Linked DNA regions of Oryzias latipes. The protein of the gene in region 2 purifies or fractionates together with the protein of the main gene of each other region. This does not show direct contact. Links are inferred from orthologs where the notes say so. Each region holds a gene or a part of one and is shown on either strand. Other genes may lie near its edges. The genes, in order: bet1, stx5 and ykt6.

Evidence for each region.
Region 1: the proteins of stx5 (region 2) and bet1 purify together in Homo sapiens (affinity purification with mass spectrometry; 3 studies listed by BioGRID and IntAct, with this or other methods). This does not show direct contact. The link is inferred for Oryzias latipes from reciprocal best matches to the Homo sapiens genes STX5 and BET1.
Region 3: the proteins of stx5 (region 2) and ykt6 purify together in Homo sapiens (affinity purification with mass spectrometry; 3 studies listed by BioGRID and IntAct, with this or other methods). This does not show direct contact. The link is inferred for Oryzias latipes from reciprocal best matches to the Homo sapiens genes STX5 and YKT6.

Annotation. Positions count from the first base shown.
Region 1 is NC_019869.2:10,286,686-10,290,879, reverse strand, and holds bet1 (BET1 homolog), read left to right. Parts: upstream 1-1,513; 5' UTR 1,514-1,655; coding exon 1,656-1,674; intron 1,675-1,856; coding exon 1,857-1,963; intron 1,964-2,100; coding exon 2,101-2,157; intron 2,158-2,539; coding exon 2,540-2,695; 3' UTR 2,696-3,598; downstream 3,599-4,194. Other genes in the region: probable acyl-CoA dehydrogenase 6, read right to left, coding at 3,721-3,811. UniProt on the Homo sapiens protein: Required for vesicular transport from the ER to the Golgi complex. Functions as a SNARE involved in the docking process of ER-derived vesicles with the cis-Golgi membrane.
Region 2 is NC_019868.2:11,891,500-11,895,150, forward strand, and holds part of stx5 (syntaxin-5), read left to right. Parts: intron 1-283; coding exon 284-354; intron 355-1,093; coding exon 1,094-1,149; intron 1,150-1,270; coding exon 1,271-1,341; intron 1,342-1,419; coding exon 1,420-1,536; intron 1,537-1,676; coding exon 1,677-1,733; intron 1,734-1,844; coding exon 1,845-1,926; intron 1,927-2,861; coding exon 2,862-2,948; intron 2,949-3,108; coding exon 3,109-3,212; intron 3,213-3,316; coding exon 3,317-3,438; intron 3,439-3,651. UniProt on the Homo sapiens protein: Mediates endoplasmic reticulum to Golgi transport.
Region 3 is NC_019867.2:5,872,010-5,876,117, reverse strand, and holds the start of ykt6 (synaptobrevin homolog YKT6), read right to left. Parts: upstream 2,816-4,108; 5' UTR 2,696-2,815; exon of another isoform or gene 2,579-2,695; intron 2,310-2,578; 5' UTR 2,290-2,309; coding exon 2,186-2,289; intron 2,070-2,185; coding exon 1,987-2,069; intron 1,132-1,986; coding exon 1,031-1,131; intron 947-1,030; coding exon 842-946; intron 692-841; coding exon 626-691; intron 1-625. UniProt on the Homo sapiens protein: Vesicular soluble NSF attachment protein receptor (v-SNARE) mediating vesicle docking and fusion to a specific acceptor cellular compartment. Functions in endoplasmic reticulum to Golgi transport; as part of a SNARE complex composed of GOSR1, GOSR2 and STX5.

The DNA.
Region 1 (4,194 bases), on a different chromosome or scaffold from region 2:
TATCTATCTATCTATCTATCTATCTATCTATCTATCTATCTATCTATCTATCTATCTATCTATCTATCTATCTATCTATCTATCTATCTATCTATCTATCTATCTATCTATCTATCTATCTATCTATCTATCTATCTATCTATCTATCTATCTATCTATCTATCTATCTATCTATCTATCTATCTATCTATCTATCTATCTATCTATCTATCTATCTATCTATCTATCTATCTATCTATCTATCTATCTATCTATCTATCTATCTATCTATCTATCTATCTATCTATCTATCTATCTATCTATCTATCTATCTATCTATCTATCTATTCTATCTATCTATCTATCTATCTATCTATCTATCTATCTATCTATCTATCTATCTATCTATCTATCTATCTATCTATCTATCTATCTATCTATCTATCTATCTATCTATCTATCTATCTATCTATCTATCTATCTTATCTATCTATCTATCTATCTATCTATCTATCTATCTATCTATCTATCTATCTATCTATCTATCTATCTATCTATCTATCTATCTATCTATCTATCTAAGATAGCACAAGGGTTAAAGATAGGGTGAGGAGCTCGGTCACCTGCAGAGAGCTCGGAGTAGAACCGCTGCTCCTCCACATTGTGAGGAGCCAGTTGATGTGGCTCAAGCATCTGGTCCAGATGCAATGGTCACCTCCCTTGGGAGGTGTTCCTTGCATGTCCCACTGGGCAACAAAAATGGCGAGCAATACTGGAGCTATCCAGTTGTCCAGTTTTGATCCAGATGCCAGATCAGACAAGTAAAACAAAGACATACATGAATCCAGTCGACAACAAGTGGATCCATCAGAACTCAGCAGGGAGGTAGGTGCCAGTATTTTTGTCTGCTCCTGATTAACAACAATTGGAATAAAGAAACACTCAGAAACCCAATTTGAAGCCTAAATATCTTAATTAATGTTCGCCATCTTCCAACAAATGCCACAAGAACATGTTAAAACACTAAAAACACAATCTTCATCTGAGTGGGGTTTTAAATGGTGATTCTCTTGAACAATTTTCAAATAAAAGATGAGAAAAAGAACAACATTTTCTTTCTGAAGGCACAGTGACTTTATTCTGATTAGAAAACAGACAATGCAAATAAAGAAAAGTATTAAAGAAATAGCAACAGCAGAATTGCAGCTACAAACATGGTGTTTTAAGAGTGACATAATACTTAAATCCTGTTTCATGTGCGATGATTGGGTCTCGTAATTTAGAATTAAAAGAAGAAAGAAACACAATAGCAAAAATCTGGATTATTTATTCAGTAACAATGTAATTTTAGAAACTACAAAAACAATAAAAATAATAATATTAATTTGTCAAAAGATTATATTATTCAATATACCTTTTCAAAATGTGGAATAATATTTGGGTATTTAGTACCCAAAGGGATAAACGTACACTATTTTAGGAATCATTTACTTGATTTTTTTTTGTGGATTTTTTTTAGCTTTTACATTATTACATAGGATTTGTCCTTCTCGGCCACCGTATGATGTCGTGGCGTTTCCCTATGTGTAGAGACTAGACCTCTGATTATTTTTAAACTTTTCATTGTTTAATTCTTCGGAATATACTGTGGACATTTTCGGCTTCAGTGAGTAAGGATGAGACGCGCTGGTTTGGGTAAGAAACGAGTCTAAAACTGGGAAGTTTCAGATCGCTAGCCAGCTAACATGGTAGCTAGCATTAGCTAATGTTGTTTTCACTGGTGGATGGATGCAACACTCTGAGGCGTAGTTACATTTTTAATAAGGCTCTTGGCTTTATTCTCAGCATTTAATATTGTTTTTTGTTGTCTTGTGTAGGTGAAGGAGGCTCCGGGAATTATGTGGCGAGTGGCTACAGTGTTTATGAGGAGGAAAATGATCATTTACAGGAGGGACTGAGAGCTAAAGTCAGCGCCTTGAAAAGTGTAAGACCAGCTGCGACACAAAACTGTGCCTTCGTCTGTCACTATTCACTTGTTTCTGTTACCAATTTCTAGTTTTAAAAGCTATTTTACAAGTTTTACTTATCTAACAATCAATTCCTGTCTCTTGTCATTCCCAGCTGACTATTGATATTGGAACAGAGGTTAAATACCAGAATAAGATGTTGGAAGATATGGTGGGTTTCTCTTTGTATTTAAATGGCAAAGAAGTACCTTTACAGTTACTCTAAAGTCCTCACTCCTATGAAAAATGGTTTTAACATGTTCTTGTAGCAGCTTTCTCATGATGTATGGCATAAAAAGAAACAAAGATTAAACTTGTGTTTCTGAGTATTTCTTTATTCAAATTGTTTTAAATCGGGAGCAGACAAAAAATAAATCAAGCTTGAAAAAGAGTTTATTTTTGCTGTAGAAAATTGATTCTGGCTAAAAACAGCAGAATCATAATTAAAAGACAGAGGGACAATAGCTCAAAGAGTGGGATTTTAATAGTACCGACTTAGTAAACATTTTCTTGGATTTGAAGCGGTTCCTGATCCCCCCCTCATCTCTTCACAGGACTCGGACTTTGATTCTACAGGCGGACTGTTGGGAGCCACCATTGGCAGAGTAAAGCAGCTGTCCAGAGGGAGCCAGACCAAACTGCTCTGCTACATGCTGCTCTTCTGCCTTTTTGTCTTCTTTGTCCTCTACTGGTTCATCAAGCTGAGGTGATAAGAGCATCTTGTTGGACTTTGCCCCTTAGCTCCACGTCTTCATTCCCATTCACTAGCAGCTCTGACCTAAAAAAACACTTGTTCAATTGGTTAGGTGGGGATTTTTTTCTTTCGAGCATCATTTTGTTTCCTGATGTCCCCTAAATGAGCCATGAAAGGGCTTGAAATAGAAAATAGACAAGAAATAAACTTTGAAAGTGTTCATCTTTAACAAGGCAAATGACCCAGGAAAGCACCTTGTATACCATTTGTATACCTAACACATTAGTATTTGTGTTGCACAGCTACAGCTCAGTTATGATTAAACAAACAGGATCCACAGTCCAAGATACAACAGCTGCTGATGAGTTATTTTTTGTAAATGAGGTTAAGGTGGTTTGAGCTGTGGAATAATTAAACACAATTTGGTGTACTTATGTCAAGGAGGGAGTTGATATGGACAGGTTTGAACACAAGTACGGTAATTACAACTCATGTTGATGAGTTTTGGACAGCCAAATGAATTAAAGGCTGCCGATAGTCCTAAAAACCTAAAATCACAACTAAACAATTCAGTCTTAAATGCTGCCAGAGCAAAGTTTCCATAATAAAACACAATTTCAACATTGTTTTTTGCTATTTTAATTCTTCTGCCACTGATTTACAAACTATGAGCATAAACATTTGTTATACAAAATTATGTCAATCTTATTTCAACTGTTCAGTCCCATAAATGTGGACACACACAGTGCAGCACATAAGGGACACGTCTGTATTACATCACCTGACATTGTAAATCACCACAGAGACCTTCATTCTTGAGTAAAAATGTAAATAAAAACAGATTTTATGGCATCGTTTGTGTTTCCATGCTGGATGTGTTCAAAGCGTTTAACATAACTTCATCAATAAAAGAAGCAAACAATTACAAGAGATTTCCAAACTAATTTTTTTTTTACAAATATCTGAACAGGTCAGGATGGTTTAAAATTGCACTCTTGTATTAATTATCATCGTCTGAGCAGGAATCTGCTGCAAATGACATCACTTCCGGGGTAAAGTGTCCATGAACTTGCAGATTATTCCCAGCATCACCTCATCAGCCCCGGCGCCGATGGACAATAACCTGGAATCCCTGGAGGAGAGAGAAAAAAAGCAACAACACACTTCTGTAATTAACTGTCACTCAGGTGCTCATAAGTCCAGTCTTTGCATGAAAGTTCAACTTCAAGTCTCTAGTCTGTCAAACTTTAAATTAAACCGCAAATCTTAAGACTTGCAGTAAAAAAAATGAACATTTATTTGGTAATTAACTAGTAACCCTTGTGCTATTCTAGGCACTTTAATATTGGGAGTTGGGTCATCTAGACCCACTAGACAGTGCTCTGAACCTTTTTTCTTCAATGATTTGTGATCTTCACTGGTGTCCATGGATTAAATGAAATCTTTCCACCTTTGTCGTGGTAGGGAGAACACGTCAAAGTAAGGGTGGGGTCATCTAAGATAGCACAAGGGTTA
Region 2 (3,651 bases):
TTACTTTTAGTTTTGTTTTCTATTTTGTTTCTTTCTGTTCCTTGTTTTTATTTTTGTTTTGGGCTGAACTGACTGATATTGGTCCATTAAATCAATCTCTTGATCAATGACGCACATAAAATAATACTTAGTTTGACATTGATCCCAAACTTCTATCAGCCCAATGAAATATCACTAAGTCATATCACATATATCTGTGTGATGGTGCAAGTTTTTATGCTTAGTGTCTTTGTGGTTTTTTTTAAAGTTGTACATTTTTTAAATTATCGTCTTCTCTCATCAGAATGGAGTCCAGCCCAGTAAACCAGCTCTTGCCGCCCTGAGGCAGCGCAGTGACTTCACAGTGATGGCAAAGTAGGAACCTCATTGTTTGCTTTCCTTGTTTGATACAAAAGCTCATAAATTCCTTTACATGAATAGTATTTAATGTTGATGTTTAATATCTGTAACCGTTGGACAATATGTTGTCTTTTTTTTACAGTTATATATTATTTATTTAAAAAAAAAGACTTTTACAGTGATGTGTAGTTGTTTTAAGAAGTTGGACATTTGTCCTCACAGCTATACTAACAGTAAAAATTCTGAGCGACAATAAATCATATTAACGTACTGTTTGAACAGCAGAAATTCAAAATGTTCAAAAAGGAGATTTAGGCATTTAAAAATGTATCCTTTGCTTATGTTTGACTATGCAATGTTCAAATCCACAGATAATTTCAATATTAAGGCTTGGTAGTTGCATTGGAGCTTATTTTTGGATCTCCGCCTTCTTTTGTTTTATCAAGTCAGCCTTAAAGTCCCTCTCCAATCATGTTTTGATCTCTTGTAAAAGCGTTTCCAGTGGTTTTTTAATTATGATGCATTGTTTTCTAAGACATAGTTTCTGCAGTGCGGCAGTAGTTTATTAGAAATTTGCCTCTGAGATGTGGGCAGCTGAATAGAATAACTTGATTGTCATTTTATATGTAAAATGAATTAAATGTTTATAATGTATCTAGTTAATTATAATTAGTTGGTCCCTTAACTTTTGGAGAGAAAGAAAACTTTGTTACAACTTCAGTAAAAAACACAGCGTTTCTGTTTGTTCTTGCAGGAGAATTGGGAAAGACTTGAGCAACACTTTTGCCAAACTGGAGAAGCTCACTATTTGTAAGTTTTTATTTGTTGGCTGCACTAAATGTAATAAATATTTTGTCTGAAATAGTCAGACCATTGGTAATAAATGTATAAAAGGTCATCAGTAGTGCTGATTGTACTGCTTTGATTTTAGTGGCAAAAAGGAAATCCTTATTTGATGACAAAGCAGTGGAGATTGAAGAGCTGACGTACATCATTAAACAAGTGAGCCGAGTTGGAGTTCTTCTTCCTGTTGCTTTGGATGTGGTGAGTAACCCCAGCACCTCTGCTTGGTGTTTGCAGGACATCAACAGTCTGAACAAACAGATAGCACAGCTGCAGGACTTGGTGAGATCACGTGGAGCTCCGGGTGGCCGACACATCCAATCTCATTCTAACACTATAGTGGTGTCACTACAGGTATGTTCATGGATTGTTGAAGTCTCACACTTCATTAATCATAGTTTAGTTTTGAACCATCTGAAAGCTCTAACACATACAAATGTATTTTTTACTATAAAGAAACAAAACCTCCAATAAACTTTACATGTTGTTTGCAGTCTAAACTGGCGTCTATGTCAAATGATTTCAAGTCGGTCCTTGAGGTCAGAACAGAGGTGAGAAACCATTTTCATTTTTCAAGAAAAGTAGAAATGGAGATTTCTTACATTTGAAGTTCTTCTAAAGTCTCAGTCTAAGTTGTTGAAGCGGCTTTCCTTTGTCTGCAGAACCTGAAGCAGCAGCGCAGCAGGAGAGAACAGTTCTCCCAGCCTCCCGTCTCGACTTCTCCCATGATGGCAAACAACTTCAGTAAGTCTGCTGACGTCACACAAACATGCTGTGGCCACTTTGAACTGACTCTGCTTAACACTGTTGGTGGGAGGTGTTTCTTTGAAGCAGCAACTAATCAAGCAATAAAAATTAATAACTAAACGAAACTGATAAACTGTCTTTTAAACTAAATCCTAAAAAAAAAAAGATGACTTTAAAAATGGTTATACTTTAATAATGAACAGTCTTTTTACTAATAATTAAGTTTTTCTTTTGTATTTAAAGCAACAAATTGCTTTCCTGCTTTTATTTTTTTTTAAAAGTATGTAAAGACGGTCAGTCCCCATGGATTATTAAAGTACTAACAATTTAACTGAGTCAGGTGTTTTTCCGGGAGGAGTGTGTTTAGTCAAATCCCTCGTGTGTGTGTGTTCGTGTGTGTGTGTTTACATCATCAGGAAAATGTTTGGTTCAACTCCAAAAAAACTCAACAACTTTCTAAGCAGGTTAACACAGAAGGTGTGTGAGGTTACTAAACAGTTGATGGAGAATTTCTGGGGAACCCATACAAAAATCAGATGGTTTCAACAATGATGTGTAGATATGAACAGCTTTTCTGTTTCACTCCGGAAAATTCTTGCCCAAAATAATCCACAAAATTAATTAATGTGTAATTTTAAACTAGATATTTTGTCAGTGGATCTTGAACTACAGGGGACATCTCCAGAATATTGAAAAAAAAAGAATTTAGTGACATCTGCGCTTGTTATAAATCAATAAATGATAAATTTAGCTAAAGAAGAATTCACATTGAGCATGTTGCATACATTTGTTCTCAAAGATAGTAGTAGAAGTAGTTTTTTTTTAACTGCAAGTGTAAAAACTGCTGCTGTCTTAGAGAACTGCTCAGACTCTTTGTGAATGATTATTCCTGTATTTGGCCCTCTGTAATGTAAAAATTAAAAATATTTTAGGGAGCCGCAAAAAAGGGGCCCAGGAGCCGCACGCAGATCGTGAACCGCGCTATGACTACCAGGGCTATACAACCACAAATGTAAAAGGTATTTCCCTGGAACGTTTGACACTCTGAGCGGGTATTGATTAGTTACTGTGTGTACCTGCTGTGTTTTTCTATCTTGTGTTTTTTTTTTTCCCCCTCTGCAATTCTGAGTTTTTTTTCCAGCCTTGATGAACAGGTGTTTACCTGCTGTCCCCCTGCAGAGAGTTCGGTTCTGATGCAGGATGAGTCGCGCAGTTTGGGAGACGTGGCCATAAATATGGACTCTCAGAGCAACCCTCTGCAGCTCCAGCTCATCGATGAACAGGTAGACAGCTTAGGATGAGTCATTTTGTTTAAAAGCTTTGCAACATGCAACGTTGTATTTTTGCAGAATAATTTGATTCCCTTTTTGGCGTCTTTTCCCTCTAGGATTCGTACATCCAGAGCCGTGCAGACACCATGCAGAACATTGAGAGCACCATCGTAGAACTGGGTTCTATATTCCAGCAGCTGGCACACATGGTCAAGGAGCAAGAGGAGACTGTCCAGAGGTGGGTGTGGAATAGAAAGGGAAAAGCTGCATTATTCATTTGAAGCACTTTCTTTATTGCTGTGCATCACTCAGAGCACTTCACATGTTAAACCTCAGTTGCAGATTAGATTAATGGATTGTTATTTTATTAATGGCAGAGAACTTGTTTTATTAGGTCTTACACTGAAGACAGGCATCATACTTATATGAACAAATGATAATTAAAACTAAC
Region 3 (4,108 bases), on a different chromosome or scaffold from region 2:
TCCACCTCTTAGTTTAAAGTCAAATTGCTTTAGTGTTTCTACAGTTTTATTTCACAGCGACAGAAAACACCAAATCTTCAAGGAAAAGTAGGGAAAAATAAAATATTAAAAAGAAAGAGTACTTTATAGTTCATAAAAGATATTTCTGCTCAAATAAAATAACCGTATAAAAGTGAATTCTAAATATGAAAAGGTATTTTTTTTTCTCACATGGATTGTCCATCTATGCTAGAAGAATTTAAAGTAAGCATTGAAGCTTATTGACTGTGTTAAGAGAGTTTGACATGTTTTCATCAAGGTTGACATTTCTGGGTCATTTCACTTTGTTAGAAACCTTCCTAAACAAAGAAAGACTATTCAACCGTATTCCTGCAGGTTCACTGCCCCTGAAGTCAGCTTCGGCATTAGCTACGACCAAGGCTGGAGCTAATAGCTCAAACGGATATAGATCGGCGCCATCATGGTCGTCAATCAATTTTAATGCCTGTGAACAAGTTCACTTTGTCACAAATGGACAGAAATACACAATACGCACACGTTGTGCAACACCAGTTCGCTTTTTTTAAACTGTAGATTTAGTACAAGAATTCAGAACTTAGTGAAAACTGAAGACAGGGAAGTTTACCAGAATGATCTTTGTCTCATCCAGCTCTGCTTGTACTTTAGTCATCGCATCTGCTTCTCTTGGGTTCTGAGGAAAAAAGAACAAACAGCTCAGTAACATGTTTCGAAAAATAAGTTTGGCAAAATTCTCTAATAGTAAACTCTACAACTTAATAAACTATTCCTTTTCTCCAGTTCAGATATGTGAATAGACATTCAATGGTATAGCAAAGCAGACCTGATATTTAGCCAGGTGAATATCCAAGGCTTTGTAGTTTATTTTTTCAGGACTACCAGTTGGCCAGTCTATACTGTCCACCTGCCTGGAGAACTCATCTAACACCTAGAAAGAACAAAAAAAGAAATCAAGAGGATTTGAGTTTTAAAATCTTTAGTCAATTGCTTGAAAAATGTATGTTGTACTTACCTTGTCAAGCAATGTGAAACAGACCCTCTGTGGGTATTCTGTATCTGCGATGACCACAGCACCCAGGCTGTCATTTCTCACATAGACGTGGCACAAATACTCTAAAAAAATAAAACAAAAACAATTAAAATAAAAATCGCCAAAACAATGAAAACTCTTTTCTAACAGGGAAAGGCTCAAAGTGGGCCAAACATTCAGCTTAAAGAGGTACGTGTAAATCCGTAGATCATGCGTTTCCATTTTTAAAATCTTATGTAGCTTTCTGATAAAACTGTCGACAGAACAAGTTCTTCGCAAAACTTCCACACATTGGACTGTAATGATGGATTGATCCATTTTTGCTGCCATCACTTGTGCGTCATCTGCTGAGATGGCACTTGGTGGTTTTTCGTTGTAGTAAAATCTAAATGGTATTTTCTAATATTGATATTTATTATATTTTGGAACAATTTTAGAATAGTGTGTAGGTCAATTCAATTAACAACTTGCCTCAGACAGGTCTGGTTGGATCATAGGAACAAAAATTGATAATACGATCAATTGTTCCACCCCTGTTAATATACAAACCCCACAAGATATAAAACATCAAAAGAAGAAAACAGTGGATTAGGAAGACAGAACTAACATCTGTGATTTTTATTTAGTATCAAAGTCTCCTTTTAAGTTTACATTTAGCTGTCAAACATCATTTTGTTAGGTATTATTAGAAAATAGTCCTAGCTACATTATAGCTACATAAAAAAGACTAATGAATTTGTGGGAATATAAAAAGCACTTTGGAGACAATGAACTCCTTCAGGTCGACAATACATTCTTCTCTGTTTGTATTCCTTTTTTCCCTTCTTATAATACTACAATTTATAGTTTAAAAAATGACAGTTTTTCCTAGGCACTGTGATAACAATAAGGCATTTGCTATGATTAATGTATAATAATGAAAAACAGCTCAGTGTTACCTTGTTCTTTGACAGAGGCACGGGTCCCTTGTGACGTTCGCTCAACAATTAAGGCACTGGTAAAGGTCATGAACTCCTGCACACTAATGATGACAACAAAGCAAAGCTTAAGTTCATGGAGGCCTCTAGTTCAAACGCGGTCTGTGCGTTACTTCCGGTACAGTCAAAATAAACTTTAGTTACGGTCAGTGGAACTCACCTGGAACGCTGGAAGAAGCTGAAGGAGGACAGATCAAAGGCCGCTTTCAACAGATTTGATTTGGTCGCTCCTTTGTAGAGGACACTCAGGCTATAGAGTTTCATTTTTATCCCTCGGATCAAATCTGATTAAAAGGACAAGAAGTAAGCATTATCCAAATATCCAACACAACTTGGATGGCCAAGAGAGGGGGCCAACTTCCTTCAAGAGTGAAAATACTGTCTGCCACTAACAATTACCAGCTAGTTAAAAAAACAATCATGTGGATGTTACATGAAATCAATCAGACAGATATTCGTACATCAATTTTACTTTCGATTACATTCCTGAAACCCGGCAGAAGAAGTTAGCCAAACATGCTAACTAGTTTGGTTGAGGCCCGAGACAACTTACCAGGCAAATCAGCAGTGAGCGATAAATTTCCGGTCAAAAAAGCAAATAGAATCACTTGTTTCAAATTAATTAAAGCTTGATGGTGAGTTGCGAACGGCTCAGATAACCGAACCACACCTTAATTAGCGTCAACTGTCCAAGATGTACTTTAGTAATCAGCCACCACGTCACTGCCCCAACGCGGTCCTACGGTGTAGTAGCTCGGAAGAAACACGAACCGCTGTATTCATCGTTCCGCTCTCATGCGAGGAACATTGTAGAGGTGTCTTTTTAAGGTACCGGTGAACTGTTAAAAATGTATTTAAAAATCTCTCACTCATCAGAGTCACCAGTACATTTGATAAATAAACAATAGCTATTTCATAATTACATTAATAAAGAAAGTAGTAATACTAGACGTCAGGCAGCATGCAAGGTAACATGGATATTCAGCTCAACATTCCTCTTTTTCATGTTTTTGTACTTCACATGTATAACCCCCCCCCCATCATATACTCAATAATAAAATGGATTCACTGTAAATAAAGTTAAAACATTTTTTTAGAATAACTGGTTAGTTTACCTCTAGATGTCAAAGGGTCTCATGTTTTAGTAGGTAAATGGCATAAACTTATATAGCGCTTTTCTACCATCTTCGAAGGCCTAAGGCGCTTTACAGTCACAGTCCCATTCACACACAGTTTCACACACTGGTGGCAACTCTGCTGCTGAACACTGGCGCCAACCTTCCACCAGAGGCAAGGTGGGGTTCAGTGTCTTGCCCAAGGACACTTCGACACATGGGTGGGCAAGGTGGGAATTGAACCCGTAATATTCCTATCAGAGGTCGACCGCCCTATCACTGCACCACGACTGCCCCATATTTAGTACATATCAGTGATGCTTAGTTAAATAAATTACAAAAAATGTTTAAAAATGTGTCCTATGTGTTTTATTATTGATGGTTGTTATATAAATGGTGTTGGGTAGCAACGTTTACTTACAATGACTAGTATTTTATTTTAAAAATTACAAAACCTTTACCAACTGTACTCCCTGCTCTGTACTTTTAACAAACGTCAAATACAGTTTTTAATTGGGTCACCCTTCCCGCATCGAGTTATTAGACGATTTTTTCATGAACCCATACAGACTTATGTCTGAAGGTTCTTTTTTTGGAGGTGGGAGGTGAAAATGTCGATTAGTCCACTAAAGACTTGGCACCCTCAATTGATGTTTTCTCTTGTAATTTTGCTCCATTTAACAATTTCCTCCTGTCCACTTAACTCGGTGTAAGTAAGTGTTTTTCGTGTGAGAGGCACGCCTGTTACAGGTTTCCAAAGCAACCCAAAATGATAAAGGCGCATCTGTTGGACCAGTCGCACCAAGGGAGGAAATGATTTGTCCTTCGTGGAATTGCTTTTGGTTTTGTTGAGATACAGCAACGTTTTCACCGAGACGCTGGATGCTTTTTTTTTTGTCATTTAACCTTTTTTTGTTGTTAACAGCCAAAGCGAGGATTTATCTGAAAACTTTCTAACTTGACTTTTT